Pelodiscus sinensis: one gene and its partners. The protein of the gene in region 1 interacts with the protein of each later gene in a biochemical or structural test. Links are inferred from orthologs where the notes say so. Each region holds a gene or a part of one and is shown on either strand. Other genes may lie near its edges.

Region 1 (10,695 bases):
ATTGCCATGCAAGTAACGCTTAGAAAACTGACCAGTTAGTAACTGTCAAACAATCAGTTACATCCTTTATGCCCTCTTTTCTGAGTGTTTGGATCTTAACTAAGATTCTGAATTGTTGGGAAGAATGAGTGATACTTTGGGCTCTACGTTTTTCCATCTTACCTGGACAAGTAGTGTGTAGGATAAATTTATATTAATGGACATTGCTGTCTAGAACAGAGCTACTCAACACGCAGCCTGTGGGCCACATGTGGTCTGTGGCCCATTTGTTTGCGGCCCGCAGTGTGGGTTTACATGGGGCTCATTCTGCAGCCTCTGGATGGGATCCTTTGAACATGGCCTCCACTGGGAACACACTCCACAATGGCAATTCAATATAATGGTCTTCTGTTGATATGTGTTTTATTAGTTACATTTGTGGACTGTCATTGCTCAGTAAAAGTGCTGCTATATGGGTGGAAATTGGGGAAAAATATTACATTTTATAAATATCAGCGGAACTGACTTAAATGGGGCCTGCGTGTTGTGTAGTCTTGCCCTAATCTTTGTATTCATGCCAGTCAGCGTGAAAAGCTATTTGCATATATATATTTGCATGTATATGCAACCACACTTAAGTTGTGGCCCTTGGCATGTGCTGTGAGTGTCATTGTGGCCCCTGGGGCTTCCAAAGTTGAGTAGCCCTGGTCTAAAAGTACAAAGTTAGCATCTCCAAAACGTGCTCGTAATCTTACTGTATATTTTAGAAATGTGTGTCTGTCTCTATCTGTAAGTCTGTTTGTTCAAGAACTCCTAAACTGGGGGTGGGCAATAATTGTTGCAGAGGGGCCGCTTAATGAATTTTGGTACGTGGCACAGGCTGGCTTCAGGTCCTCAGAATGGGCAGAGCCTCAGGCAGAAGGGGTAGGGCTAGTGGCTAGAGATAGTGAGTGTAAAAAAGATACTGGGTGAGACAGTTACACAGATTTAGTGTGCGGCACAGAGATGGGAATGTACAAATAACCTGAAATGTACCTGAAGCGTAAAATATGCTCTATTACTGTAAGAATTCACTGGCCTTTCTAAGTTTTATCACATCTCCACTCAAATACTCAAGCACTCCATTGTGTTTACTTTTAGTAACAACATGTCAAATGGTTTAAGAAACAATGCTTGTTCAATCTGATATATTCTGAACTTATTCTGTGTAGAACTGTCAATATTCTTTAAACACCGTAAAGAGAACTATCAAGACCCGATGCCTGTTTGAAGCCAGACAAGATTAAATTAGAAATTAGGCCCAATATTTAAACAGTGAAGAATAGTGACAATTGGAGCCAGCTTCCAGGGGCTGTGTTTGAGTCTCTATTCTTTGATGTCAGTAAATCAATACTAGATATCTTTCTGGAGGATAACTTGTGTTTCACTAAAGAATATTAGGCTTAATAAAAAAAATAACTGAGACATTTTTTGGCCTGTAATATACAGGTGTTCAGACTTCATGATCTAATGCTCCCTTCTGGTTTTGAATTCTGTGAATCTATACAGTGGTCAAGGTTTGTCAGGTTTAATACTAATTTTGTATCTTGATTCTAAATTAATTTGAACTTTTAATGAGTGTTTTATAAAGAATTGTCCTTTTCAGTACAAGATTTGCGTGATCTATATACTGCTTCCTGTTTAATCCTAGAATATTTGCTTTAGCAAAAATAACTGCTGCAGCTTTCCAAATATCTTGACTGACTAATAACTGTTAATCTGTTCCTCTTTCCTAGGTTGATCCTCAGCAGCACAGGCTCCTTTTTGAAGTATTTGATGAAAACCGTTTGGTAGGTCACTGCACATTAGAATATTTGTTCTTTAAAGACATGAATGAAATCAAGTTTAGATGGAAATGTTTAAAAAAGGCAGTTCCATAATTAATTTTTATAAACCTACCAGATTTAAGGCTAAATCTGACAGTTCTTTTTTCTTTTTCTTTTGAAGTCACTACTCTTTGTAATTCTTCTGTTAGAAATTTTGGAATCCAGTGTCTTGTATGTAGTATCTGCTTGTTCAAATGTTTTCATGGATTCTTTGATCTGACTGTCTTTATAGTTTGAGTTCGTGTACTGCTATGGAAACTTGATGGTAGCTTTCTTAAATGATCTGAGGCTTGTTTTACCTGCTACCAAATGCCCTTAGTAAAGATACAGGCTTCTCTGAGATGGATGTGGTTTTGACCACTGTTTTAATAACTTAATTTGGCAAGAAGGAAACATTAATTTTTAAACTTACTTTGCAGTTGTATCTTACCTAAAAGGTTCATTATCATGAACTGGTATGTTGATTAAACCAAATATAGCCTTTTAACTAAAGTTGGTGTACTACTGTTGGCTAGCCAGAGGATACACTAGATCCCTATAAATATCTATTTAAGAAATAAAATTTAACATACTCTTATTCAAATTTGTTAATATTTTTTTACAATACGCCTTCACTATGGATTTGTCATCCTATGATTGGATGAAAACTGGAATTCAGTTTAAAATGTATAGAGAACATTTTAAAATTGATCTTTTTATTGGATACAGAAAATAAAAATTATCAAAATACATCTTAAATTTAAAAATATATTAAAGTATTAACTGTAGTTAGTTGACTTTCTGGTCAATGTGGGTCAAACTTTCTACTTAGGACTCTAAAGGCGTATATTGGCACTTATTCTTCCTGGGTGTATTTAAAAATCTCACTAGGCACTTCTCTGCAGCTTGAGATGACTAAATATCTTTGAAACTCTGGCCCTATGTCCTTCAAATTCTTTAGAATTAGGAGAGCTTATCCTCTCCAACCTTATTTTAAGTCATAGATGGAAGAAAACAAACTTCCCTGCTTTTTCAACTCATTTTCTTAACTTTGAATGAACTAGTCCAAATAAAGAAAATATTTTCTCTTCACCAGCTATGTAAGCTGAATCTAAAAATAATTAGGGCAAAATCTTTTCTGTTAAACCAAAACTGACAGTTTGAATTGATATCAAAAGATAGGCTTTCCCCTATTTTGTATATTTTTTAAAAAAAGAAGCACCTTTTTCACTTAGCAACTTGAAAGCTCAATGATACAGCATATTTCTTAAATTACATTAGTAAATGTAACCCTTAAATTTGAGAATGTCTAAAATACATTTTATTTTTAGAACTCTGTTTTTGATGCTTGCTAATTTTAGCTAAATAGTTAATATATTATAAAAATATTGTTTTTTTTTTTTTTAATCTGCCTTCTTGGAGACTGGCCATCAAGAGCATCAGCTGTTTTAGCAGATTGGCAAATGAACCTCTAGAATGACTTTTGAAGTTTTGTGCATCAGCTTTCCCTCAAACTATAATAGAAGTACTCAAAAGGCACTGGGATTTGGTTGTTAACTAGAGGTGTAATTTCTAAAAGCACCTATATCTTATTTTCGATAGCAGTCTAAATTGCTTACACTGCCGCTTCCCGTTTTGTATGTGTGCAACTGATTGGTTTTCTTTTCTAAGAGGAGTACTTTTGCATTTATCCTTTTTGAATTTCATTCTATTTACTTCAGACCATTTCTTCAGTTTGTCAGATTACTTTGAATTCTAATCCTGTCCTCCAAAGCACTTGCAAACACTCCCAGCTTGGTATTGTATGCGAACTTTAAGTGTCATTTTCTAAACCGTTGCTGAACGTATTAAACAGAACCAGACCTCGAACTAATCCCTCAGGGACTCCACTCAGTATGCTTTTCCAGCTTGACTGAATCACTCTTTGAATATTAGGGTTGGAAGAGACCTCAGGAGGTCATTGTGTCCAGCCCCCTGCCCAAAGCGGGACCAACGTTAACTAAATCATCCCAGCCAAGGCTTTGTCAAGCCAGGACTTAAAAACCTCTAGCGATGGAGATTCTTCCATTTCCATAAGGAACCCATTCAAGTGCTTCACCACCCTCCTATTAAAATAGCTTTTCCTAATATCCAACCTAGATCTCTCCCACTGCAACTTAAGACCATTGTTCCTCATTTTGTCATCTGTCACTACTGAGAACAGCTTATCTCCATCGTCTTTGGAATCTCCCTTCAGGTACTTGAAGGCTGCTATCAAATGCCCTCTCACTCTTCTCTTCAGTAGACAAGCCCAAATCCCTAAGCCTTTCCTTGTGCTCCAGCTCCCTAATAATTTTTGTTGACCTCTACTGAACTTTCTCCAGGATGTCCATGTCTCTTCTGTAATGGGGGCAGGGAGTCGGGATGAGGGCAGAATTGGATGCAGTACTCCAGATGTAGCCTCACCAGTGCTGAATAAAGTGGAATAATCACTTCTCTAGATCTGCTGGCAATGTTCCTTCTAATGCACCCTAATATGCCATTAACCTTCTTGGCTTCAAGAGCACACTGTTGAATCATATCTAGCTTCTCGTCCACTGTAATCCCCAGGTCCTTTTCTGCTGAACTGCTGCTTAGCCAGTCAGTCCCTAACCTATAACAGTGCTTGGGATTCTTCTGTCCCAAGTGCAAGACTCTGCGCTTATCTTGTTGAACCTCATTGGCCTTTGGAAATGGTTTTCCAACCAGTTATGCATCCATCTTTATGATTGCTCCATCTAGGTTGTGTTTTTCTTGTTTTAAGGAGAACATGTGAGACTGTATCAAAAGCATTACTAAAGTCAAGGTAAACCACATCTACCGCTCCTCCCATCCCATAAGGCTTGTTACCCTGTTAGGTTTGACACAATTTGATCTTGACAAATCCATCTTAAAACTAAACCTCGTATTAATCTGTGGTATAGTTTTAATAACAATGTTGCCTTTCTGGATTGCAGTGCCTTCTCTCACACTTAATGTGTTCAGCAATAATCATTTTTATTATCTCAACTGCAGCTGGTTGTCAACAGGTGGGATCAAACTTTAGACCTCTGAAGCTTACTGAATAAACCCATGTTGCATGAGCTAAAGGCCAAATGACGATTAGCTCAGGCTGTAGTAAATGCCTCAATCTCGAGATGTTCTAGGTACCATTAGAAGGGATCAGAGTGCCACACCAAACAGGCCTGCATTACACTGCCAGCAAGCTTCATGGATTATTTTTCAGCATGTACTTTCATCTGCCTAAGATTAGAGAAAAGGCAAAATTCTCTATTAGCACTAGCCTCTGAGAATCTGTCAAAAGAATGGCAGTTCAGGGCTTTATAACCTCTTGTCTTGTGAAGTTCCTCATTGTGATTTTTAGAAAGCAAGCATGGCAGTAATGCTCATGAAGTAGAGCAATCTGGAGAGAGAGGTGGAAGTAAATAAGGCTTCTGTGTTGAACTCATTGCTAAATGACAAGATTGTCAGGTCCAGCTGTATTCACTAGCAGGATTCTTTTGTAGCTGATGGATTGACAGTGACTAGCCAAGAAACCTATAGGTGGCCAGACACTGCTGGTTTTGCTATCCATAACTGGGTAACTGTTAAACTATGTGAGACATAAGTTTTGCTATTGCACTTCTTCACAATCTGGATACTGACTGGTAACAATGGTTACTACTTCCTAGTAGAACAGTTTAATGTGGGAGAAAGTGTTCCCAGTACATAGTATTCACACCTATGCAGCGAGGAAAGTACCAGTGAACTGTAGTCATTACTATTGCAAAAATCTTGGATTGTGAGATTTAAAACAGGATTGTTGATGTGAGGAAAGAGCTGGCAACATACATCAGTAAGCCAATGATCAACCAGACCATAATGGATCTGAAGTAATTTCATTATCAAAGTAACCAGGGAAGATCATGCTTCAAGAAACGTATTATCTAGTGTGAAGGGACACACTTAAATCTAAAAATACTACTACATGACTAAACCTCTGACTGCTTTACTTAGCATAGCTCTTAGTAAAGGAGGAGACATCATGCTTAAAAGTCTAATTCTCTTGTGGTGAATGTTGCTAAGACTTTTATCAGAGTGTTACTTTCTATAGCAGACTTGGATAACTTCAGGCCCATCGATGGTGGGAGGGTGCTAAAAAAGGCAGCTGTCCCAGGGCCTGGCAATTCAAAAGGGCCCAGGGCTCCTGGCCACTACTGCTATTACTGCAGCAGTGATAGTGGCCAGAACCCTAGGCCCTTTAAATAGAGGTCACAGCCCTGAGGAGCACACTCCTGAGGGCTGGTTGCGGGGGAGGGAAGTACCCAGCACAGTCTATGGGTGAGGCTGAGGGCTGGCTATTCTCAGTCCTGCCCCTTCTGGGAATGCAGTCACCTTGCCCAGGAGCCTAGCATTTCTTTTACCCTCTCTTTCTCCCACCCCTCAAGTAAATTGATAAGTTTAATTTTGTTAACCTGTAGACTAAATTAACCGAGTCATACTTAAGTCTCTTTGTTTCTAGTTTTTTTTTTTTTTAAGGCTTCTTCTTTATCAACTTGAAACTCAAAAAAAAAAAAATTGTATTACTTAATGGTTATACATAACTTTCTGAACCTGTGACCAAAACAGCTCTTTGAAAACCCACACTGTAACTTTGATTAGTGATGCTTGGTGGAATAGCTGAACTGTTTGTTATAAAAAAGACAGTAAATAAGCTATTATATGTTGATTAATTTCTAGCCATTAAAATGTGGGTAATGAGGTTAAATGAACCTTGGAGTATTAACAAAAAAACCTTGTTTGCGTGCAAACTAAGTAGTGTTAACTTTAGTCCTGGCCCTTATTTGGAGAGGGGATAAAGCTGTTCTTTTTACTGCATACTAACCAAAAATATAGAAAAGGTCATGTAAATATTGAGCAGAAAATATCCAACAGTTTGACCTATGATGAAGGGATAAATGGTCTAGTGTTCTCTCCTCCTGTTTGAGCTTTACCAGACCAGTAATTCATTCCTTCTTAATATGTTAGCATTTAGTATTGCATGAAGTATCATTTCTGTTCACTGCTATTGACACTTCACAGCAAGACTACATTTTTTCCAAAAGTCCCACTAGGTGCCAGCAAAGGGCCTTTTCTGTCAATATGGCAAATGCCTGGAGAAATTGTCATTTTTAGTCTTTCATTTTTGGGGAAAATTACCAGTATATTTTTAGTTTGATTAGTCTAATTGTGTTTCCATAGTGGCTCTCAAAGCACTTTATTAAAATTGCACCTCCTTTCTATTCTTGTTACTGTAGTTAACTGTGAATGTATAAGATTACTGTACAGTGTGCATACAGTACCTTATGGAATGTAGCTTGGAGTAGTCTTCATCTGTGAATTGTATGCTATATAAGCAGTTGTTTAAATATGCAGCATATACTGTACAGCTGTAGAAAGACCTCATATGAACTGTGTGTGTGAGATAAATACATATAAAATCTCTGTAGGTACGGACCTGAAGATTTCACACCAAAAGCATTGTTGAACATTTCATACTCTGCCTCTCTAATTCGTAGATAACCAGACGTTAGTCCAGAACATGGACTGCTGACCAACAATTTAAGCACTTGAGTTTGAAATGTAAAAAGTTGTAAAAGTGTGAAAAGTCTAACTCAGCACACTTTTAACCTGAAAGACTAAAATATACTCACTAGAAAAGAACCTCTGGGCTTCACTGAAACCTTGAGCGACAAGCTTTTAATCAGGAGGAAATTTTATGGTTTTATTTAACCCAGTTATATCTTTGTTAAAAACTGAAGTAATGTGGCACTGTAGGATTCCATGAACTGTGAACCATATTAAGTGTAATTCCAGTAGTTTTCTTAGGACTCTCAAAATAACTCTAATTTTAACCTTTTGTTAGTATGAAATGGCTTAGTTCATTGGTTTTTGCATAACCAGATGTAGTTTACTTGCATGGGTTACTATTTGGCAATTCAATCCTAGATTTGATACTCTGTTATAAGGGACTTCATTGCTACCAACTTCCTGTAATTCTAAACCTGTGGGTAAAAATATTAGTAGTCATACGCTGCCGCAGAGAGCATAGACATGTTGGTTAAGCTAGTGTAAGTGCTGCAAAATTTTCTGTTTTTAAACTCCTGAGAGCTGGAATATTCTTGGGTTATATTCATTTATGTACATTACAGAAGGTAACATTGAAACAAGTTTGGCAGCGTGTCAGTATACAGCAGCTGAGTTAATCTTGATGGTCGTTGGAAATCAAGTGCTTTTTAAGTGATTGCATTCTGTCTACAAACAGACAGCCCAGAAACCACAGTTCAAGGAATGGCTGACTTGTTTTAGGAGGTGCTAGTTACTGTCTTGCCGAAATAGGGACAAAGGCTGCATCTTTCATGGGATCTCACTTTTGCAATGTGTTTGAACTGGATCACAGTTCTGTGCAGCTGCCTCTAGCCTTTCTGCAAAAGGAGCTTTATGGTTCTTACTTGCTAACATGTGTGCAAATGAGAACAAATGGCACGACGGTTAAGATTGCATTTTGCAGCCCGAAGAAGCAACACTGATCCGTTATCAGAAACCTCTGGCGATGGTTTGGATAGTAACATTCATGTGTATTTCCAAAGACCTTCACAGAATTCTGCACCTGATATTATAGAAATGAAGCTGACTCCCAGGCAAGCTGGCTTTCCAACTACAATGCAGGAAATAATTAATCAACAGCAGCATTCAACTGTTTCTTCACTGCAAAAGAACAACAAAAAGAGCACCTCACTGCAGATTTCCCTGCAGTCTAGAAGGTATAGTGAATGTTTTCAATCTGATGCAGTAGTTGCTAGTGAAGACCCTTTCATCAGTGTTGGTAATGAAGGAAACACTTGTAGCAGGAATATGGCTGATTACAGATCTAATATGTTAAATAGTAGCAGCCATTTAAGCAATGCTACCATGTGCAATACTAATCTAGGTGATATTGCAGCCAATAACACTGGATACCTCAGTAGCACTGGGAGTGACTATGAATCGTGTGCAAGTATCACTAGTGATGGAGACTCATTCAGCAACAGTATCATCAGTGACAGTAGTAGTTGCACTCTTTCCACAGGTGGTGATACTTTCTGTAGTAATATTGTATATAGTACTTCTTCATATAGAAGCACGGCATACAAATGTAATTCCTATAGGAACAATATATCTCAGGAAACTTCATGTAGAAGTAAAAATAATACTGCTTTTGATCAAGATGGTTTGGAGCAAATGAAATTGCCAATGAGGAGGAAAACTAAAATTCCACTACGGCGTTTTTCATCATTGGTAATCTTTCCTAGGAATCCTTCGACAACCCCACCAACTTCTCCAACATGTTTGGGTCCCCTGCCAAGCAGAGGACCTTATCAAACATCACATCGATTAGTTATTTCTCCTACTGAACTGGCACAGAATGAAGATCAAGCAACTTCTACAGGGTTCACTTCAACATCAGTCAGTGGACTTCGACTGTCTAAAACGGTTGGCTCTCCTGGTGACACTAGAGACATTAGACCCCTTTACTTGAATAATTCATTACAAGACAAAAATCAGGCCACAAGTAGAGTTGAACAAAAGCCATCTGATAGTTTCTCTTGTATTTCAGTTCATTTCACTCAGCAAAGAGAATCTGCATCAAGGGATGAAACGGTTAATGGTTGTTGCAGTCCAGAGTTATCAGAAAAGGAGTTAAATTTGTACTCTGATGCAAAGTGCTCTCATTTAAAACTGATACGTAGCACATCTGCATGTTTGCCCTCTAAAAAACATTCTGAGTATCAGATTCTTATTAGCGAATTAGAAAGACCAAATACACAAATGAGGACAACCCACCTGCAAAGAAGTGTTTCATTAGAAGGATCTTGTCAGAAAGTTTCTTGCTGTTTATCCAGTCTTAAATACAAGTATCCTAAGGCAGAGACATCGCAGTTGCACATACAGTTCACACCGGGAAATGACAGAAAAACTAGTGGCTTTCAAAAAAATTCCAGTACCTGCAAAAGGGAATCATCAAGTAGCACTTTGTGGAAGCCCTGTAAGGTGAGGGTTTTTGTATTATTTTCAAAGAAAAACTGCCAGTGGATCTGAAAATAGCATGATAGCTTGTAATAATTTGGTCTCTTCTAGTGTATAATATCCTTTGTAGCTGAAAATTCCCAGTAAAGCACCTGAACTTCAGATATTAATTCAGAATCATAACTGATTATTTAAACCATTTATCTGCATGTAAATTACTTTATTATGTAGTAATCTACATGTTTAAGTTCTTGACTTAAAATCAAATTTGAGTTAAAACTTTAACTGTATTGTTAATCCAAAACAGAACTAATTGTTGCTGAAATAACTATTTAAAGATGCCTAAGAATGAATACGTTACTATAATCTTTTATTTATTTTATGTAAGTTTAAAAATTTTTGCAGAAACTTGCTGTGTTGAGAATTAATTAAAAGTAACATTTGAGCAGAGCAACTGTAAAATACTATTTGTATCTGTATACACCCTGAGCCACAGGAATTTTAAGTGTTTCCTCCCCTTTTTTCTCCAACCACTAGTTCAGCCTGAACTTTATTCTGTAACTTAATATCTTTTCCAACAACATTGCAGTCTGAATTAGTTCTTGAGTTTAGTAGTTTTAACTTTTGAGTAATAAAACTCCTCTCAAGCTAAACTTCAGAAATTTGTTCTCTTGTATTCAACGTGAAACTTATATTTGTTAATAATGATAGAACCATAAGAAAAGTAGGTTTACAAATGTATTTAAATGATCTTGAAAGTCATTCAGAAGCTCTTGCAAAATGTCAGACTTGCATAATGCTGTTACTTATGAACAAAAATTGGCAATAG
Region 2 (10,741 bases), on another chromosome or scaffold:
AAAAAAAATCACAAGTTAAGAGCAAAAGAAAACTATAGAACATGTCTCATTTTCTGTGACTCCACAACTTAATCTAGACTTCCAAACTGCAGTTTGCATTGCTTACTGCTCTCATGTCTTTAATGATCTAAGACCCAACAGACAAGGTGAGAATTCTATTCAAGATGTGGGGTGGGAAAGCTATACAGCCATGGCCACCAACCTGTCGATTGTGATCAACCAGTCGATTGCGAGGTGTTCCGGGCCCCTTATTTCCTCCCACCCACACTACCTACCTCCAGCGACAATGGAGGTAGTGGCAGCTTCCCGCGGGGTAGATGGAAGTCCTGCAGCACTTCCGGGGGTTCCGGAAATGCACTGGCTGCTTCCCTGCCCCAGGTCTGTGGCGTGTGGAGTCCCCAAAGGCTCACGTGCTGGGACTTCCGTTCGCTGCAGAAGAGGAGAGTCGGGCCGGGGGGGGGGGGGGAGGCAGGGGCTTCCCTGCACCACGGGAGGCTCATGCCAGCCCCAGAGGAGGCATGCAACAGGACTTCTTCCTCCACGGGAAGTGGGGGGGTGGGGAAGTCAGCCCCAGATGGGGCACGTGCATGGGCTTCCCTGCTCTATGGGAGGGGGGAGTCAGGCCCGGAGGGGGCACACGACGGGGGCTTCCCTGCTCTGTGGGAGGCGCGCACTGGCCCCGGAAGAGGCATGCGACAGGGCTTCCCTCCTCTGCAGGGGGGAGTCCTGGGAGGCGGCGGGTACAGGAGACTCTCTGTCCCCACTGGCACCCTGTCCCCTACCACAGAACCCTATCCCCTGCCCTCCCGGCACCCTGTTCCCTCTCCCCTGCCCCCAGCTGCAAAACTCTGTCCCCACTGGCACCCTGTCCCCTGCCCCAGCACCCACTAGCACCCTTCCCCAGTGCCAAGTCCCCTGCTCCCACCAGCACAGTTGGGGCCATATTAGTGAGGCTTGCGGGAGGGGGGGGTTGAGGAGGGGTGTTTTTTTGCATCTCACTTGTGTGGCCCCAACTGACTTTCCTGTGGGTCAGTGACCCCTGACTCAAAACAGGTTCCCTGCCCTTCTCATAAATAAAGACAATACTGAAACTTTTTGTATTTGACATAGTAGTTTATTTAAAAATGAAACCTGGCCAGCAAACCCCCAATTGGGGCCAAGCCCCCAGGCCACAGCATCATAACACTCCTGCACTGTCCCCTCCCCCCCCGACCCTAGATACACTGGAAGCCCCTGCCCTGAGCCTCTCACATATCCCAAGCCTCCAGGCCACAGCATCGTAACACTCCTGCACTGTCCCCTCCCCCACGACCCTTCATGCACTGGAAGCCCCTGCCCTGAGCCTCTCACATATCCCAACCCAAATTTGTGCACCCTCATATCCACACGCCTCTGGCTTGCTTAGTACCCCAACCCTCCATCTGACCCCAACACTGCCCAGCCTGGAGCCCCCTCCCCGAGCCAGCATCCTCTTCTCCACCTCCTCCTGCGTCCAAATTTCCTCCCAGAGCTTGCACCTTTCACCCCTTCCCACACCCAAATCCCTCATTCCCACCCCAGAGCCTACACATCCTGTCTCAACCCAATGAGGGTACAGCTAGACTGCAAGGCTGTGTCTAGACTGGCAAGTTTTTCCGGAAAATCATCTGCTTTTCTGGAAAAACTTGCCAGCTGTCTACACTGGCCGCTTGAATTTCCAGAAAAGCACGGACGATCTGATGTAAAATCATCAGTGCTTTTCCGGAAAAACTATGCTGCTCCCGTTTGGGCAAAAGTCTTTTTCTGAAAGACTTTTGCACAAAAGGGCCAGTGTAGACAGCATAGTACTGTTTTCCGCAAAAAAGCCCCCATCGTGAAAAAGGCAATCGGGGCTTTATTGCGGAAAACCACGTGTAGATTGGCCACGGACGCTTTTCCGCAAAAAGTGCTTTTGCGGAAAAGCATCCTGCCAATCTAGACGCGCTTTTCCGAAAATGCTTTTAATGGAAAACTTTTCCGTTAAAAGCATTTTCGGAAATTCATGCCAGTGTAGATGTAGCCCAAGAGTTTTTCAGGATTCCAGAGTTATCCCAGAAAAACTCTTCTACATCCAGGGATGCATTTGTTCTTTCACTTTTTTTAGTGGAAGAGCAAATGTGCTCTTTGGGTAACCCCTATATTCCTCTTTCCACAAGGAATAAAGGGGCTTCCAAAAGAAGGGGTTTTTCTGACATTTGGTCCAGTCTAGACAGGCCAAATGTTGGAAAAACCTCTTCCTACAGAAGAATTGGGGGGAAAAAGCAGCAGTATAAGGATTGGGGATAGCAAGTGATGGAGAGGAGGAGAATAGAGAGGGCGTGTTGGGGCTTCAAGGAAGGGGTGGGGTCTTGGGGGAAGGATGGGGTAGTAGATCTTGGTTTGTTCTGTCATTTAAAAATGATCTTGGGTGCAAAAAGGTTGGAGACCACTGATATACAAGTTTAGTTCTATCTCGGATTCGGATTGTTGGGTGGACAAACTCAAAGCAGGGCAAAAGTGAGAATGACTGGAAATAGAGGACAGCTTTTCCAGACCCTTACATTTTCATTATGTTCCTCAAATGAGAAAACTCAATTTATAGTTTATAAAACTCTTGTATATGTTTCAAATTATATGAGCATATAGAGTCAGGAGACTGTAAATGGAATGAGAGGGAACACATATGTAAACAAAAGTTTTGGGTCCACCCCTCGTAAGGATGAAGTAAGTCATAGATCCATTTAATTCTCAATGAATTTTCTTCTAGCAAATATTATTAGCTTGCAAGTGAAAACTAGAGTTATAGATACTGCTTAATAAATTGGGATTCTTCTTTAATTAGACTGCACGCTTTCATATTTTGCAAATATCATTCACAAATTCTTGATAGCCCACCTACTGAAAAAGTAAAAGGTAATGACAATGTATTTAAACACACAAATACTTCTGTGCTATAGGTAAATATCCTGGCTGCCCCTATGAAATTAACAGCTACCTAAAGTACTCTAGTAGCCACACCACACTTTTTTTTTACTTGTAAACAAATATAACAAAGTTAATCCGGCCACTCCCCTTAAAAACTGCAACTTAAAGTGTACTTCCTGTCCCGATGTAAAGACAAACCAAATCAGATATTTGCTTCTTATATATTGGTAAGGGGAAATAAAGCTAACACTTCACCTAAGCAAAAAAACATGCAACCACATGAGTACAAACACCACCACACCAAAATGTCTAATGCATCTCCATATTGGTTATGATAAACAAAGTCCAAAATACACAGGTCAAATTAAGGAAACACCCACATACGCAGAGAGTGGTTTTTTTTTTCAATGAAGTTGAAGTGAGGTGAAGGTGCTAGAAGTCTCCAAGATACAATTCAGTGACCACTGAAGTTGCGGGGGGGACGGGGACTGGTCACAGTACTTCCCTAAATTGTGTCATAACTTTTGGAGAGTCTCAGAAACCTGTTATAAGCAATCAACTGACTGAAAAACAGTGCCACATAAAAGCTTGTGCAAACCAAAAGGCTCCTGATAGCCAAGGAATCCAACCAAGAAGGCTCGAAGACAGAGCCAGCCTCGCTCCTCCCCATGCATTTGTGGGGCGAAGGTAGGGTGGGAAGCAAGGCGGGAGAGTGCAAGATCCAGCTCAGCACTCCTCCCTCTGCGGGGAGACCCCCCCAAGCTCCAGTCACAAACACTTTCCTTGACTGGATTCCCAGAGCAGGCAGCCGCTTCCTGTTCGCGCAGCCCTACCCTTCCCCTCCTCGCCCCATGCCCCGATGCACACGCACAGAACGGGGAGTAAGCCCCAGGGCGCCAGCCCCCAGCCTCCTTGCAGGCTCACCCGGCGGGGTGCCGCAGCCGCCGCCACTGCGGCGCATGAAACCTCCCTCCGCCGAGGCCCGGCCCCGCGAGGGAGCCGCACGCACCATCCTGCCTCCCTCTTCCCCGGCGAGCGCCCCCCGCCCGCTCCGGCGAAGCAGGCCCCGGCGCTTCCTCCCGCCGCCCTGGCGCGCGGGGCACTTACACGCCCGGAGCGGCGGCGCTGCTGGGCGGGTTCCCCCGCGGGGCCGGCGCTAGGGCCTAGCTGGGCGCGGGCAGCCGCCTGGTCTCCCTCGCCGGCCGCTCCTCCGCCCCTCGGCGCGGGGGATCAGCCCATGGAGCGCGCCGGCCGGCCGGACCCCCGCCTGGCTCTGGCCGCTCCGGCGCTGGGCAGCCTCCGGCCGGGGCGCACGAGGGGGCGGCCGGGCCCCGAGCTGCTGGCTGCTGCCCCAGCCACCCCCCTTCAGGCTGGGCTGCTGCCGCGGCTCCCGGCTCCGCCAGCCTGCGCTCGCCTGGTCCCTCCTCTGCCTGCTGCTCGCACAGACACACACACACACACGGGCTGTGTCTGCTCGGCGATGCCTGCGGGGTCCTACCGCCCGCGGAATCCAGCCGCCTGCAGAGCCCGGCTGGGCGGGGGGGGGGGCAGAGAGTTCCTGCTGCAGCCCCCTTGGCGCTAGTCCAGGGCCCCCTCCCCACACACTCACAGTCGGCGCGGGGCGCCCATGCAGGTGTTTGTTCGGCATGCTGCAGGAGACGTGGGGAACTCCGGCTAACTTCCTAACCGCACACAGGCTTATCACGGCAATCAGGGCGGCTTGCCGCTCACACTGCTGTTTACTAAAAGGAGAGCTCGACTCACACACAACCACGCTGGTGGGACCGGAGTCCAGCTTTATTAGCTCGAATCGTAGCTCCCCACCTCCCCCCCCACACACACCCACCCACCCCGCTCAAACTGTAAGGCAAACACACACAAGAGGGAAACTGACCGGATTGTGCGTTTGTAAGGACTTTTTTGTTAGCTTTGGACGGTGCCTAGCGTGGTGGGGCCCTAGCGCAGGAAGGTGTGTTACCACAATAGGATGATAACAACAACAAAACAAAAGCTGTGCGGCCAACTCTCCCAGTAGTTGGTGTTTTCAATAAAGCCCTGGGGCTTGAATTAATTTGGTAATGTGAGAATGTCAGTTCTCATTTTTTTTAAAAGGTTTTTTTTAAGCCCTCGTGATTCTCAAGATGGGTCTGCAAATGCAAATCAAGTAAATTCTAAAAGCTGAGAACACAGCAGCCAACTAAAAAAACTTACACAACTGAGAGTGTTGTTGGGTTTTTTTTAATTGAGTGAATTTTAAGCCAATCTCCTGACTGGAGAGGGCATGACTCATAATTTTTTATTCTTGGAATTGACACCTCAGTGAAGACACCCATGTATAGCCAAAAGCAACCAAAGATGTGGGCAATTGTGAGTTATAGATCAGAGAGGGAAATTAAGATATGAGACAAGAGGTATTGCAGTTAGGGAAAATAAATACATAAATACATTACAAATGTCCTAAAGGAAACAGAGTAGCAACAACAAAAGGAAAAATTATGTAGCACTTTAAAGACTAACAAGATAGTTTAATAGGTGATGAGCTTTCCAGGGCCAGAGTAGGTCTGGCCCACAAAAGCTATTAAACCATCTTGTTAGTCTTTAAAGGGCTACATAGTTTTTCCTTTTGTTTTAGCAAGATCAGACTAACACGGCTACCTCTCTATTCAACATGCAGAGTAGCAACAGTAATCCTCAAATGTTGTAGGATGGATTGAAATATGCTCATTCTTCTCCTACATAAACTTCACCAAAGAGAAGTTATTCGTGAACATTATTGCTTGTCTTCCTTTTAGACTTGACTTTTTCATATTTCATAAATACACACACACATGAGGAATCAAGGAGACTCCATGCATGCATGGTTGTGGTATGCAGATCAAATTGCTTATCTCTGGAGCCTTATATTTGCAAGAACTATTTACTCCACTGAAGTGTGTCTTGGAAAGAAAGCTTTTCTTATTCCTTTTGAATTAATCTTTTAGCTAAAAGAGAACATTGCTAAGCAGATAGAATGAAATGAATCAGGAGAGCTTGTTGAACAGGCAGATTCAAATTCTCTCTTGATTCATGGTGAAAAGTGTGTTTTGCAGTTATCTGAGGATCTCAAAGCATTTTACAAAAGTGAATACTACGGTGTGGCTCAAAGCAAAGGCAGAAGTGGAGATTAAAACCCTAATTCTACAAATACTAAAAGCTGTGATGCTGCCTCAAACCAATCATCCATCTAGCCCAATATCCTGTTTCCAAAAATGGTGGGCACTAGAGCTGCAGAAAGACTAGAGAGAAGTGCAAGAAATGCATGGTGGAACAGACTTTAGCATAAGTAGTTAACACATGTTATAAGGAACTATTCAAGGTAAATGAACAAATTAATATCTCTGTAGTCATGGGATAAAAAGAGGGGGTTAGAGGGTTACAAATTATTATAAGCTATACATCAGGTGGCTTTATTAAGACCTTTATTCTTAGTGCCTAGTAAAATTATGAATTTAAGATCACTGGCTCGTCTTTTGAAAGTGCTGTGCAGGTTTCCTTTGAATATGAGGACTAAAAGATCAGATATAGATATGCATAAGGGTGAGCCAATCACTTTGTGAAAAATATTCACTCTCAGGTGATATGGTATTTTTCTCTTTTATCATTTTTCTGAGTGAGTTCATTCAAGAGTGTACTAATTGTCTTGTTTCGCCCCCATAGTTTTTAGGTCATTTAGTACATACATTGCATGAGGTATACCACATGTCAAGAGAGGCATATGTAGGAACTTTGGATCCTGAAAGATGCCATGAGAGGGCATTTCCTATTACCCCACTTAGTTTCTTTAGTGAGATACCTTGTTGAATGCTTTCTTAAAATCCAAGTACCCTATGTTGACTGGCTTATCCATATCCTCATGTTTGTTGACTCCCTCATAGAATTGTATTAAATCAGTGAGGTATGGCTTACTTTTACAAAAGCCACATTGACTCATCAACAAATTTTATTCATCTATGTGTTTGATTATTCTGTTTTTTTACTATGGTATCCATCAATTTGCCCAGTACTGAAGGTAGCCTCACTAGTCTGTAGATGCCAGGATCATCTTTGAAGACCTTTTTAAAAATCAGTGTTACATTAGCTACCTTCCAGTGATTTGTAACAGAGGCTTTTTTTCAGTGATAGTCTTTAAGGTGCTGCTAGAGTATTTGCTAACAACACATGTTGATGGTTTCATGAGCTTTCATGGGTAAACCCACTTCTTCATTGTTGTACCCATGAAAGCTCATGATATATCTACATGTGGGCTGTGTCTAGACTGGCAAGTTCTTCCACAAAAGCAGCTGCTTTTGCGGAAAAACTTGCCAGCTGTCTACACTGGCCGCTTAAATTTCTGCAGGAACACTGATTTCCTATTGTCTGAAATCAGTGCTTCTTGCGGAAATACTGTGCTGGTCCCATTCGGGCAAAAGTCCTTTTTTGTGTGCAAAAGGGCCAGTGTAGACAGCTCAGATTTGTTTTGCGCAAAAAAGCCCCGATCGTGAAAAAGGCGATCGGGGCTTTTTTGTGGAAAAGTGCGTCTAGATTGGCACAAACGCTTTTCCGCAAAAGCTGTTTTTGTGGAAAAGCATCCGTGCCAATCTAGACGCTCTTTTCCGCAAATGCTTTTAACGAAAAACTTTTCCGTTAAAAGCATTTGCGGAAAATCATGCCAATCTAGACGTAGCCGTATTGTTAGTCTTTAAGGTGCTGCTAGACTATTCATTAAGTTTTTCCATAGAATATTAAAACTGGAAGGGACATCAAGAGGTAATCAAGTCCAGTCCCCTGCTCTCACGGCAGGACCAAGCACCTTCTAGACCATCCCCGATAGATGTCAATCTAACCTGCTCTTAACTATCTCCAGAGATGGAGATTCCACAACCTCCATAGGCAGTTTATTTCCAGCATTTAAATATATTCCAGTTACAGACTAACTTGGCTACCCCTCTGTAGCTTTTCAGTGATAGATTACATCAGGGCCAGCTCGAGCCATTCCTGCGTCCTGGGCAGCAGGCACGCAACGCATGCGCGGCTCCACCCCTGGTGCGCTGCACTCCTTCCAGCTGCAATTGGGCGTGCGGCACCTGATTGCAGCTCTAAGGGGTGCCGCACAGGCCCCGGGCGTGCAGTGCCTAATGGCAGCTCTAAGGGGTGCCGCGCGGATGGGCGTGTGCGCCCCTTACAGCTGCCATCAGGCGCCTCCCATAGGTTGGCACCCCCGGCAGCTGCCCGGCTAGACCCCCTCCCCCTTAATCCAGCCCTGGGTTACATACCACACTTAGTAGTTCTGCAATTTCATATCTGAGTTCCACCAGAATGCTGGGTGAATGCTGTCTGGTACTGCTGATTATCGTTGTTCAATGTATCAATTTATTCTAAAAGTCTTCTATTGTTCTTGATGTGGTCTCTTCACATCAGAGAGATCCTTTTTTTGGGTGACAGACCTGAAGGCAGTGGATCAACTCACATGCCTAAAGTTACATCCTGATACTGCAAGCATGTATGTAAGTAATTTTCTCATGATCACATAGTAAAACAGTAGTTGGACTGAAAATACAGCTAAGTCTTGTTATGCACAGTCTCCTGCCCAAACCATTAGATTATGCGGCTTCCCATAAATTAGTTTTGGTGGAGACATCTGATTATACCATATGAATTCTTTGGCAGTCCCATAACAAGAGACTTGTTATTATTTAATGTTATAGAAGTGCACACATGGCCAACTCATTAGTAATGTCCCATTCTGTTGGTGCCGTTAAAACACAAGGATGCCCCAAAAGTTTACAAACTAATCTAAAAAGGAGTTTACAATCTAAGGCCCAATCTACTTGCAAGAAAGGGGTTTAAACATTTTCTTCTCATTATTACAGTTCCAATAGGTTCCTAAGGTAATGAAGTTAATTGTTAAAGTGAAGTGATTTCTAATTATTTTTAATTGCATTGAACAGATCTTTAGTTCTATCAACATTTTAAATATCTTGATAATGCCATCAATTATCCAAATATACTACTATAATACAACACTTTTAGTGCAAGATTCCCAATGTGTGTTATAAATATTGATTAGTTAGATAGGCATCACAGTTCCTCAATAAGGTACTTTACAATCCCTTTTCAGAATAGATAAATTAAGAAAAAAAAGGTTAAATGGCTTGCCTCAGCTTGCATAGAGAATCAGCGGCAATAGAACGGTCAAAGGAATGCAGTCCAGGAATCCATGCTCTCAATGCTCTGTTCAAGACACTAGATAATATTGGTTCTGCAAAAATAATAGTCCATAACATTCGACTTTAAAATTATTCTATTGCAGTGTTTTGAACCACTGCTAACTATATTAAAAGAATTTGAGTGCAGCTCTGTTCTGAAAAAGGAGTTTGTAAAAATGCGACTGACATATTTTTTGTTTCTCCATATCAAATTTACTATGTTTACTAGTTAAAAGATGTTTTTTTCCCCAGCTATAAGTATTGAAAACTCAAATTGGGTTGTGAGAGTCAACTTCAATTCTTTCAGAATCATAAAATCACCAGTTATAATTGAAATTTCTGTAACTGCAACTTAGTTAGCAAGTATATTGATGATGTGGAAGCCAGAAAACAATTTATTACACATTCCCTCAGTTCAGTTTACTGGACTGCTAGAAAGGGATAAAAATATATTAGCACCAATAAAGTCAGCAGATTTGACTCTGAAGAAACACAGGTAGCAAATCTATTCAAAATGCCAGTCAAATGATTAAGAACATAGGAACAGCCACACCAATCAGACCAATGGTCCATCTAACGCAGTATTCTGTGCAGGCCATGGCCAGTACCAGCTGTCCCAAAGGGAGGGAACACAACAGGTAATCCTCATGTCATCCCTCCCATCACCCATTTCCAGATTAACAGAGGCTAGGGCAGGGGTGGACAATCATTTTTGCCCAGGGACCACTTCAAACATTTTTGAAGTAGCCCTGGGCCACCCAGGGAGGTGCGGGGCTACTCATCCCCAGACCATTATTGGTCTGGGGGTAGGGGAGCCCATTTGCCCCCACCTTCCTACTAAGCACCCTGGAAGAGGCTTGGCATGCTCCTCCGCCCACAGGCCAATCAGGGTCTGGGGGTGGAGGAGCGCGGGAAGCCTCCTCCCGCCCTGCGAGGAGCATGTGGCACTTCGAAGTGCTGCCGGCTCCTCAGAGGGCCAGGGCAGGGCGGAGGAAGTTTCATGCAGCTTCCCTGCCCCCCAGGCGCTGATTGGCCTGTGGGTGGGCAAGCGTGCGAAGCCTCCTCCGCTCTCCCCACGTGCTCCTGGCAGAGTGGAAGGAGGCTTCGTGCGCTCCCCCGCCCACAGGCCAATTAAGGCCTGGGTCAGGAGACTGCTCAAAGCCTTCTCCGCTCTCCCCTCCGCCCTGTAAGCAGTGCACGGCACTTCAAAGCACCGCACACTGCTCGCAGGGTGTAGGGGAAAGTTGAGAAGGCTTTGCGTGCTCTCCCGCACCCAGACCCTAATTGGCCTGGGGGAAGGGGAACAGCAGGGTCTCCGCGGGCCAGATCCACCCACTCAATGGGCAGGCCTTTTTGCCCACTCCTGGGCTAGGGACACCATTCCTACCCATCCTAGCTAATAGCCATGGGTGGACCTAACCTCCATGAATCTGTCTAGCTTTTTTTTGAACCCTGTTAAAGTCCTAGCCTTCACCACATCCACCATCAAGGAATTCCAGAGGTGCACTGAGTGAAGAAAAACTTCCTTTTGTTTGTTTTAAACCTGCTGCCTATTAATTTCATTTGGTAACCCCTAGTTTTATATTGTGGGAATA
Region 3 (10,481 bases), on another chromosome or scaffold:
AATCCTCAACTATATGTTGGCAACCTCCATTATTTCTGAAACTGAACATTATTTTGCTAATAGCCAAGGCAACTCAACTCATTCTGCTATTAAACAAGTTGGAAGAACTGGTAAAAATATTAAATAACCTCTTCTACGAAAGAACATTATTTTATTATTCATCTAATCCCCATGGCAGTGTACTATATGGTGCTACTCATCGACCTTCTGGACGGTTGGTATTTTAATAATTCTTCCCATATTTAAGGCCTTATTCTGGCTTTTCTTGAGCTCTCAACTTTCCCTCTGGGCGCTAAGGCACACATGTACCATGATGATGAGCTCAGTATAAAATGATTGGTGGAGACAGACAGCAAAAAAGGCAGAACTGGGCCCTAGATATGCTTACTAGATTCACCAATCTATATATTTTAAGCAGATCACACCTCAGTGCATAATTTTTGATTGCTTCAGACATTTGTTTCACATGCACACACAACTGTGCTGGGCCACTGTTTTGTTGGCCATAGCAATGTGGAAAAACTTTATTTTTTAAAAAAATTGCATTTATAATGTAAGCTTAGCATCTATAATGTAAGCTTAGCATCCAATTCTGCAGTTTGCTGCTCAGGCAAATAGTCAGTGAGACTACATAAGCCACTAATACCTGCTTGTGTGAAAAAGGCTTTGTAGGACCCTGGGTTTTATTCACACCATATTCCATATTTAACTACACACCATATATTAATTCAATGAAAGTGTAGAATATTCCCCTATAAGAGAGAAAAAGAAACCAGAAGAAAGATGACAATCTCTTTAAGCAGCAGCATAGTGTAAGTTTACTTTACTGCTTATTAATAGCATGATTACTATGCATTGTATTATCTGATTGATACATTTACAAAAACAAATTTTCAGTTGAATAAAACATGATGATAAATTTCATATGCAGTTCTGTTAGTATCTCCTATTTTGTTTTTAGGCATGAACTGTGCTATCAGCCTTGCTTGGAATAGCTGTCTGCTTCTGGCTTATAACATTTTAAATAGCTATTTCTCATGATTTCACACATGCAGAGAAATGGACCATGTTTCCTCTACCGGGACACACACATTTACAAAGCTGCAGCAACACAGCCCCTCCCTTTCCTTATTTTGTAAGGAATTAAATTGTGTGAGCCTTATGAAATTACTCCTCGCTGATATGTTTTGTGCTCTGGCAGCAAATTTACTATTGATTTCTGATTCAGACACTGTGGAATGATTCAAACTCCTCAACGTATCAGCTGAATAACCTTCAGTTATTCTAAGTGCTAAATGAGTTTAGTTTAGAAGATCCATTCTTTCACAAATTAGGGACCCAATTTTTGTTTGACTTGAATAATTTAAATCAAAGAGCTATAATAGGCCTCTCCTGTTTAAATTATTCATTGTTTGGTATTCTTCCTCTTTATATTTTGAACACATCCAGGAAATGTCTGCTATGCCCAGGAAATGTGTAGTGTGTACAGTGGGGGAAAAAGCATTAGAAAATAAAATGAAGGTCAGGTCCAGATGAGTTAATGACATGTAACATTCTCAGGTATTGAGAAAAAATTGATCTCTATTGCTAAGGGCTACTTTCTAAACTGGAGCAGCAGCTCACCCTATGTCTTGCTGACCTTGGAACTTCATGCAGGGTCAAATGTTCATATAGATTAACTGTTCTTGAATAATTTATCTGATGCGCTAGATACAAATCTTTTTTCTAACACGTTTCTTAAATCTGGGCTATCTGGACAGATTATCTTCACTCTGGTATGTGAAAATTCACAGGGTAGCCTTTGTTTTTCCTACACCCTCCTTCCCCACCAGTCAACACTGACATCAGTCATCCTTCAGGGGTTCAAAGTGGCAGCATAAAGAGAACTCAACATTTTGATACTGTTGAGGCAGATCGACCATTAACTCAAGCCAACAGATCCTGTAGCCGACTAAATTAATGGAGGCTGGGTTTTAGAGGACAGAAGCACAATGCCATGGAAAGTGTGCATATCAGGAGTCGTGATAAATGCAGTTTCAGCAGAGGATTTCATATCTCCATTTGTGGAATTATGTTTTTAAAATGCAAACAAAATACTGCTGAGAGGCTAAGAGTATCAATTGTTTTGGGCAAAATATATCCTGCCCAAGTTCTGCCATTGAACCCCCCGCCCACACACTCACACAAACAAAAATATGACAACATAATTTTAAACAGTCAGGACCTTAATACTAAGGAAATTCTTAAGTGTTATAAGAACACTAAACTGCTGAGCTTCCTTAACAAAACACAGTTATGCCAGGTTCATTCATCTCTCAAATTGCATTTGCTTTACACTGGCATTAAGGTCAATAACATTTCTCCTGATAGTCCTCAGCAGGAGTGAGGTGAATTGGACGTAAATATTTATTTTTAAAATATATGGTCCTAATTTTCCAATCTTGTCTATGCCTTGAACTGCTGAGCAATCATTTACACCATTATTCAGCCAGAAACTCACCAGTAGGAATGTGGGGTGAATGAATTAGACAGGAATCTTATTTCCACTGAAGCAAATAATATTTCTACAACTACACTCTGAAAAGTTCTTTAGCGGATGCCACCTTTAATTTTATTTTTCTTTCACATTTTTTTTTAAAGTCAGTGCCAGCACTCTTGCTGTAATAAAACAGGCATGAGCTTTCAGACAGGAATTTCAGCACCCATGTCCATGTTAGGTACTACTCCTTTCACTAACCAATAGATGAAATCAGTAATATATTCTCAGGGCCAAAAGGATGGAATAAAAGAGTTACAGGAGAGGGGACAAGTCAGATCACAAAGAAAGTGATGGCTGCCATATTTGGTAAACTAGACATCTAATGGTACATTTGAAATTCAAATAAGAGCTTTCGCTTTAAAAAGGTGGGGGCAGGATAGCTAATGCAAACAGATGAAGACACAAAAAAAGCACAGGGTTTAGCCTCTGTGTTTAACAATGCACTGTGCCACAAGGTGTGACCCTCCAGGCCCCAAATCCCACCCCCCACATCGATTCAGTTCCATTGGTGAGCGGTGCAAATATAAATACACACACGGTGTGTACAAGCACTAATAAGCATGTATTTAATCAAGCTCCCTAAGACAAGCCGGTGCCTGATGAGAATGTCAAGGCGAGGTGCATCCCATCCCCTGAGGGCCAGGGAGGCGAGGAGGGAAATCATTAAGGGCTCATTATGTTCGAATTTCACAACACTATCTGCAAGATGGACTCTATCACCCCCTTGCTCCATCCAAGGGAGAGGCAGCGGCGGAGGCAGGCCCCAGGCAAGAGCATGCGGATCAGTAGGGTAACGGCTGCTGTAAGAATCAGCACAGCGGAGGGCAAAGGGAAGCGAAGCCACATCCTCGGCGCGCGCGTGTAAATTAAAGCCCAGCATCTCGTCTGTGTGTGTGTAAATTAAAGCCAGCGTCTGTGTGGGGGGAAGGGGGGATTAAAGCCAGTGTCTCCGGCACCTGCCTGAAATGTCACACTTCCAGGTGGAACCCACCCGCAGAGACAGCCAGCCCACACAGCGGAGAGCGAGCAGAAAGCATGTCAGAGGGAGACACACACACACACACACACACACACACACTCTCGCGTGCACAGATGCTGGCCGCCCAGCAACGGGGGATATGACACATCTGCTGTGCAACAAGCCCGGACTTGGCCCCACATTGCCCCACGGACACCAAAAGCCGGCTCGGGATCTGCATCCCACCCCCCTCGGCAGCTACGTGCCGAGCACACACAGCGCTGGGGGGCAACAGACTATGTCGTGGGCGCTACAGACAAGCAGCTCACAGCGGGCTGGTTCTCCAGCGCGGGGGAAGGGAAGCGGGGGAGTGACAGGTTGTAGCGAGGCAGATTTTGGTTCCCCTCCTTGGATCTTCAGAAAGCATCTCACACACACACACACACACACACACTGCTGCTCTGTCTCACACAGTGTTGCTCTCTCACACACATACACACACTGCTGCTCTCACACACACGCACGCGCACCCATAGCTGCAGCCGAATCACACTGGCAAAGCCGAAGAAACTCCCCCCCCCCCCCTGCAACCCGCTTGCATACAATGGCAAACTTATCTCCACGCAAAGCCATAAAGCGCGCGGGGTCAGAGCCGGGCGGGCGCAGGGAAAGGGAATTGGGGGTAGGGTTGTTTTGCTCACCCTCAGGGCTGAAAGATCTATCTCATCCAGGCTCCGAGCCGGAGAATCACTCGCCATGTTTACTTCTTTGCCGGAGAAATTGACCAAAGATAGAAAGTAACCGCTGCGCTCTTCTGGCTGGATCCCCACCTGGGTCTATTTCACTCCTCTCCTCATGCGGGGGTGGGGATGGGAGACACCCCCACTGCACACCGAGGAAAAACACGACACAACCAAAAAATAAAGCCCCACTGCAAAACAAAAAATCCCCCAGCAAACAGTGCCTGGGCAAGTCTTCCTCTGCTTGCAATCCTTTAGGTAGGGAGGGCGAGGCCAGTGCAAAGCTTAAGGGCGATGCTGGGGAGTGGGTGTATTTAAATAGGACATGCTTTTTGCTTTTCTCTGGATGGCGGCTGCATTGGCTGCTGTTATAATGAGACACATCAACTCCTCCAGTCGGATGGAGAGAGAGCCACAAAGTGTCTATCACGGCTTCCTGGGAGGAGTGAGTGTCACGAAGTGGGTGTTGCCTTTCCTCAGGAGAGAGGCAGCATTTCCATGCCATGTGTGTTTGCACTATCCTGCTGGGAAAGGAAAGGTAAAAACTGCCTGGAGCTGGACCCTGCCGATTTCTGGACTTATAACCCTGAAATTGGACCATCAAAATAAAGGCTGTCACTTCAAAAGAAAAAAAACACACACACACTCCCACAAACACACACATGCATCTAAATTGAAAAACAGTGTAGCTGTTCCTGCTTTAAGAGCAAAATCTGGACCCTGATATAACCCAGCCCAATAACACTGGGGGGGGGGAGAAATGCATAGTATCTGAGTACTGTTGCATTCAGCCAATTTTACATGCTATATCCCCAAGTTTTATTGTGTAAGTAGAGAAATAAAAATGTGGTCCCCCCCCCACATCCCAGCTTTGTTGCAAACTGATGAAACAGATCTGCAAAAATGTGCATAGGGCACTTGGTCCTGCTAGATTCAGATAGTTCTGTTTAAATCCTAAATCCAAGAATCCCACCACAAGCCATATCGAGAACAATAGCTCCCCACATTCCATAGTAAAAATTCAGAGCCATTTCTTCCAAAAAGCATCACAAATATTTATCCGCTGGTTTCTTCCATTTTTGGCCCCAAACCCTCTAATTATACCATTAACAGACTAACATGATACCACTCCTTTATCATAAGAATTCAGCATTCACACCTTCTGGTGCAGGTGAAGCCACTTTCTGCATATTAAGTTTGTACAATTTGGGGGCTGGAGCCAAAAATTGCCAAGACACAGAGGCTTGAATCCAGATTTTTGTAGCACTCCATGTTTTCATGATGACTTAGAGTCTGAAATTGTTAGGTATAGAGAGAGTGACTACACTTACTCTCTGTCTATGCCATTCAACATGGAGTTGAGGCCTAAAAATGGATTTGAGCCAATGCAAGATACAAGATGGGGGAGGATAGCAGTGCTCTAGCTCTGAGATGTGCCTGTGACTAGATTTTTTGTTTTATTCGATAAGAGCAGCTAGACTAGATGTAGTGTATAATTTTGGGTTTGGGGACAAAAATCAGTAGAAACTAGCAGAATCTAGGAAGATCCAGCTTTTATTTGTTTCCTTATTTGTTATTCTCTACCACCCCCCAAACCTGGTACATTCCTTGTATTTGTTGCCTCAAGGAAGAATATTATAGAAGATGCACTGGGGAGACTGTCAAACTTCACAGGTTTGTGCGGGAATATTACAAAATGCAGGTCCGTGAAGTGGCAACACAACCACACAATAATGTGTGTGCAGGACAGCAGTTGGCTATTAATTGTGCTTTATGGATTAAGATGCTCTTTGCACTACATTTTAGTGCAAACAATCATGCAATTGACAGAAAGGCTTGTTGCCTGCAGCTAGTGTGTCAAGGGCTTTGTAGTCTGAGACGCAGCACACACATATTACCAGGAGTAATTTGGGAAGCAGAGCTAGTCAGTAGGTTAGCCTAGCAAAACAAAGCCTACTGAGTGAAATTTCCCTATCAGCAATAGGCTATCATAACCCAGTTGCAGATCCAGGGGCAGCCCCACCCCACTTTGTCCCCTCTGTTCACGGTCACTGTGCTGTCTACAGAGTGAATACCCTGCAGGGAAGGAAGTTCAGAGCTCTAGAACTGAATCAGTCTTCTTATCATTAATAACACTGATCACAGAGTTCCTGATACATGCAGAGAAATGGAGCAACAGCGTCATCAACCAGTGCTGGTCGTTAGAGCATTTTTTCCTAGAAAATTTCGAGTGCAAAGCAAAATATAATTTGTATAATTGAACTGCCAAATGTCTCAGGTAACTGAAATATACAGAAGTATAATGTTCACAAGCCTGTTTAGTGGTGCAGTGATGCAAACGATCAAGGTTTCCAATACAAGAATAAATAAATCACATGTTGCAAAAAGATTAATCTCTGCTGACATTAAAAGGATCTAATTTAACTCAAATCTTAAAGTAAGGGGAGAAAGGCTTTTACAATATCATGGAACAATCAAATTATTGCCATGATTCTCTCATTCTTTTTCAACAATGGAATTGTCTTTTAAACCTAGTGTTGTTTTTATTGGTTGTAACCTATACATTGCAATGTTGCACTAACACATGAGAACCTGAAAGCGAAATTGGCTAGAAGCCAATAACAAACAAAAATGAAAAGAGTGCTACTGTTTTCATTGTTCTAGATGAGAGAAAGGAAAAGAGAAAAATGTATGTTTAATATTCTTTCCATTTAGAGAAAATAAGGTGTAATTTATGAAACAGTTCATGACATTTATTTTTTTACATGTATAGAGATTAAACCTTCAAGCAGGCATGTTAGCATGGACACCTGCCACAATATGATGTTGTGATGTTGGCAGAGTGACTTTCAGAATTGAGGCCTATACAGTAATTTGTCTTTGAAGATGTAAATATAGAGAGCCAATTTATATCAACAACCGAATAAATAAGCGAAATTATGATAGTTTATAGTATAGTGAAAATTCCAATTTCTTCAATGCACTTCAGTGTGCAAATTGTGGCTCTGGTCATAATGAACATCTGCTGATAGGATGTTCTGCACAAAGAATTACTTTACTATTTGTGTGTGTTTATAATATCCAAATCTGTGGTCACTTTACGACTTCAAAATTATTATAACTGTGCTATGTACAAAGGCTTGGTGGCAGTGGACATGGAATCCAGATTGCAGAAACTTATGATAGCTAGGAAGCGGCCATCTGAACCAATTTATTTTTTAATGGAAAATGCAATTTCTGCAAGATCACAATTTTCCATGGAAAAATTTCAGTTTTGTTGGCAATTTGTGATACTCCATCAGAAAAATTGAAATTAAATATTTAATTTGGTATTAGCTTCACTTGAATCAGAATATTTCATTTTGTTGAACTGACCAGAAACTCATCATTTTTAATCAATTCAGTATTAAACAGAATTTTTCTACTGTGTGGCATTGTCTCATAGGAGCTGTTAGTTTGGGCCTCCATTCTATCTTTTTGGCTGGGCTCACTAGTGGATTACATCTCCAGTGATACAAGGTGGAGTTCCATCTCACCAAGATACCTGGTATATGTAAATGTCATAACTGTAGATATATAGTTGTTGTAGTACAGACAAGAAGCATGGTCCTTAGTGGAGAATGGGGGTTCAGGGTCCTGAACTACAGTTCCCATAAAGCAATGCACTACAATACAGAATTTCAGTTTAATATAATGAGCTGATTTGAAATGCAGTATTTAGGATTAATTCAATAACCAAAATTAAACATTTCTGTTTCAAGAACTAGCAAAATAATTTGTTTCACTAGAAAATTGGGAAACAAAATGTTTTGTCATTTCTAGATTGAAAAAGTTCTGAATATTTCGTTCTGTAAAAAAAAAATTAAAAGTTTTGTCCAACTATAGGACAGATGATTTAAGTTACAAAAATGATTTGAAATATAAAAATAATGATTTAAGTTAAATAATTATTTAAGATATAAAATAGCGTGTTAAAGAGGTACATTTCTTTAATAAGATTCCAGTTGAATTCAATAGGCTTTGTATCAGTTCCAAAAGGATTGCACAGCCTTTGCAAAGAAAAAGAGGGACTGATATAATAGATTGACAATGACCCATCCACTGATATATTTGATTACTAGAAGGAAGATTCAGCTGAGTCACTGGTTTCCAAAAATTCCATGACTATTAGATCACATCTTCAGTTGGTGTAAATTGGCATTGCCACATTGACTTCCATGGTACAGTACTAGGTTGATTTACACCATCTGAGGAGCTAGGCCAACATTTTTACATGAAATGCACTAGTAAAAGGGCATTGCCTAAACACAATAAAGAGTGTTTAAATATTAATACTCTATTAAATGGATAATAATTGGATTTCAAGCTAATGTGATTCCTGCCACAGCTGTGTTACAAGATACTCAGAAATTAATGGCTACTTGTGTCCATCCTGCATCTATTGATCTTCCCAAATGCATTGTAATTGGTACATCAGGCGATTGACGCTTTTCGTGCTGATGGGAGTTGCCACAGGAGAGATGCAAAGCAATGAGGAACACTCTGGGTACTTCACAATCACAGCAGTGACACGTTGCCTGTGGTTTATTATTTATGGCCATCGCTATTGTTTAAGAGAACAGATGGCAACCACACCAATAATGAGTGATTGCAGCACACTCTCTGTGCAAGCCTTACCTGCATCCTTGAGTCACTCCAAAACAGGGCATGGCATCATGCAACATGATGCAAGCCACTACACACATTAAGAAGTGCCATGGGACATCGCAAGGGAACTTCACTCTTGTTGTCTTAGCCTCTCTCTTGAGGAAATGGACCTTGCTTCCTCAGGAGTTGTGTACGTCAGCTGATATTGCTTGGAAGAGGAGTAGACATTAGAAGTCACAGTTAGGCCTTAGGAACGGGAACCGTGGGGTATGATTGTGGCATCCTGCTCCAGGTTCCTCAAAGCCCTGTAGACTTCACACTGTGCAAGATCTCCATTCAGATTTGCAATGGAGAGCATCATGGGGTAGCACATAGCATATGGGCTATGAATGAAATCCTGGCCACATGGAAATCAAAGGCAAAATTCCCATTGACTCTAGTGGGGGCCAGCCTGTCACCCTCTGTATTTTCATTTTAGTAGCCTACATTGCTGGGACTACTCCTGCTTCTGAAGCTGGGAGTCTGTCACATTTGCATTCTTGGGAGTTCAGCAGGGCTAATTTTTTGTGTGCCAGGCCTACCAGATTTGGCCCAGAGTGAATTTATGACAAGAAAAGCTTCTTAAATAGTTAATTGTTCTATTGTTTAAAAACAAAGCTCTGTAAACACTGCAATGGAGAAATCAGTGTGGGCTCTTTGAAACAATACCATAGATTTCACCTACAAAGAACACCACTATGGGCACATCTACACAGTACGGCTAAAGCCAAAATAAGCTACACAACTTCAGCTACGTCAATTGCATAGGTTAAGTCAAAATAGCATATTTTGGCTTTTAGCGCTGTCTACACAGCAGGAAGTCCGAGAAAGAGCATTCTTCCTCTGACCTCCCTTACGCCTCATGAAATGAGTGTTACAGGAGTCAGAGAAAGAAGTCCTCTAGCTCAATCTTATGTCAAAATAACTGCTTGTAGTATAGACGCGGACTATGTTATTTCAGAATAACGTTATTCCAAAATAATACTGCTGTGTATGTATTTAAATATCTAAGGGCACTGCAGATGGAGATACAGGATGGTGCAATTCACCATGTTGTGTAAACACGATCTCCAAGTGTATGTTCTTCCCCTATATGTTTTGCATTTAGTTAGGGAACAATATCTCTTTATGTTAACCTGCCACTGCAGGTAAGTTTTCATCCTCACGAGGGGTAGGAGGGCTACAGCTCCAGATAGAACCACATCCTACATGTGTATCAAAATAAGCCTGACTGCTTTTTGTTACACAACACACGTAGCTTATGTAGATTAAGCCCTATATCTTGTCTGTGTGAGTTAAATGACATTTTTCAGTGCTAGGAGCGATGTTAATGCCCCTTGAAGTGACCTCATATTATTTTACCCTGGCTAGGGCTGAATGGAACACTAAGGTTTAGTTAAGAAGGTGCAATTTTTAAATAACATAGAAATAAAATAAAATGTACAAAGTTTTCCTTGCCTTGGTTAGTGTGTGCATGCCGACATTTGTGTCTTTGATTTTCCCTGTTAGTCTGTGTATAGTATCTGAGGCCTTATGAATTATTTATTTGTGTAACATA

What was found. The genes of interacting proteins can lie anywhere in the genome.
Region 2: of the proteins of NEDD4 (region 1) and AKT1, one has a biochemical effect on the other in vitro, tested with the Homo sapiens proteins (3 studies listed by BioGRID, with this or other methods). The link is inferred for Pelodiscus sinensis from reciprocal best matches to the Homo sapiens genes NEDD4 and AKT1.
Region 3: the proteins of NEDD4 (region 1) and TNIK form a complex in vitro, tested with the Homo sapiens proteins (2 studies listed by BioGRID). The link is inferred for Pelodiscus sinensis from reciprocal best matches to the Homo sapiens genes NEDD4 and TNIK.

Annotation. Positions count from the first base shown.
Region 1 is NC_134724.1:28,001,074-28,011,768, reverse strand, and holds the start of NEDD4 (E3 ubiquitin-protein ligase NEDD4), read left to right. Parts: upstream 1-6,444; 5' UTR 6,445-8,339; coding exon 8,340-9,890; intron 9,891-10,695. UniProt on the Homo sapiens protein: E3 ubiquitin-protein ligase which accepts ubiquitin from an E2 ubiquitin-conjugating enzyme in the form of a thioester and then directly transfers the ubiquitin to targeted substrates. Specifically ubiquitinates 'Lys-63' in target proteins.
Region 2 is NC_134714.1:18,005,805-18,016,545, reverse strand, and holds the start of AKT1 (RAC-alpha serine/threonine-protein kinase), read right to left. Parts: upstream 4,676-10,741; 5' UTR 4,532-4,675; intron 4,364-4,531; exon of another isoform or gene 4,030-4,363; intron 3,979-4,029; exon of another isoform or gene 3,847-3,978; intron 1-3,846. UniProt on the Homo sapiens protein: AKT1 is one of 3 closely related serine/threonine-protein kinases (AKT1, AKT2 and AKT3) called the AKT kinase, and which regulate many processes including metabolism, proliferation, cell survival, growth and angiogenesis.
Region 3 is NC_134720.1:39,646,015-39,656,495, forward strand, and holds the start of TNIK (TRAF2 and NCK-interacting protein kinase), read right to left. Parts: upstream 4,676-10,481; 5' UTR 4,256-4,675; coding exon 4,199-4,255; intron 1-4,198. UniProt on the Homo sapiens protein: Serine/threonine kinase that acts as an essential activator of the Wnt signaling pathway. Recruited to promoters of Wnt target genes and required to activate their expression. May act by phosphorylating TCF4/TCF7L2.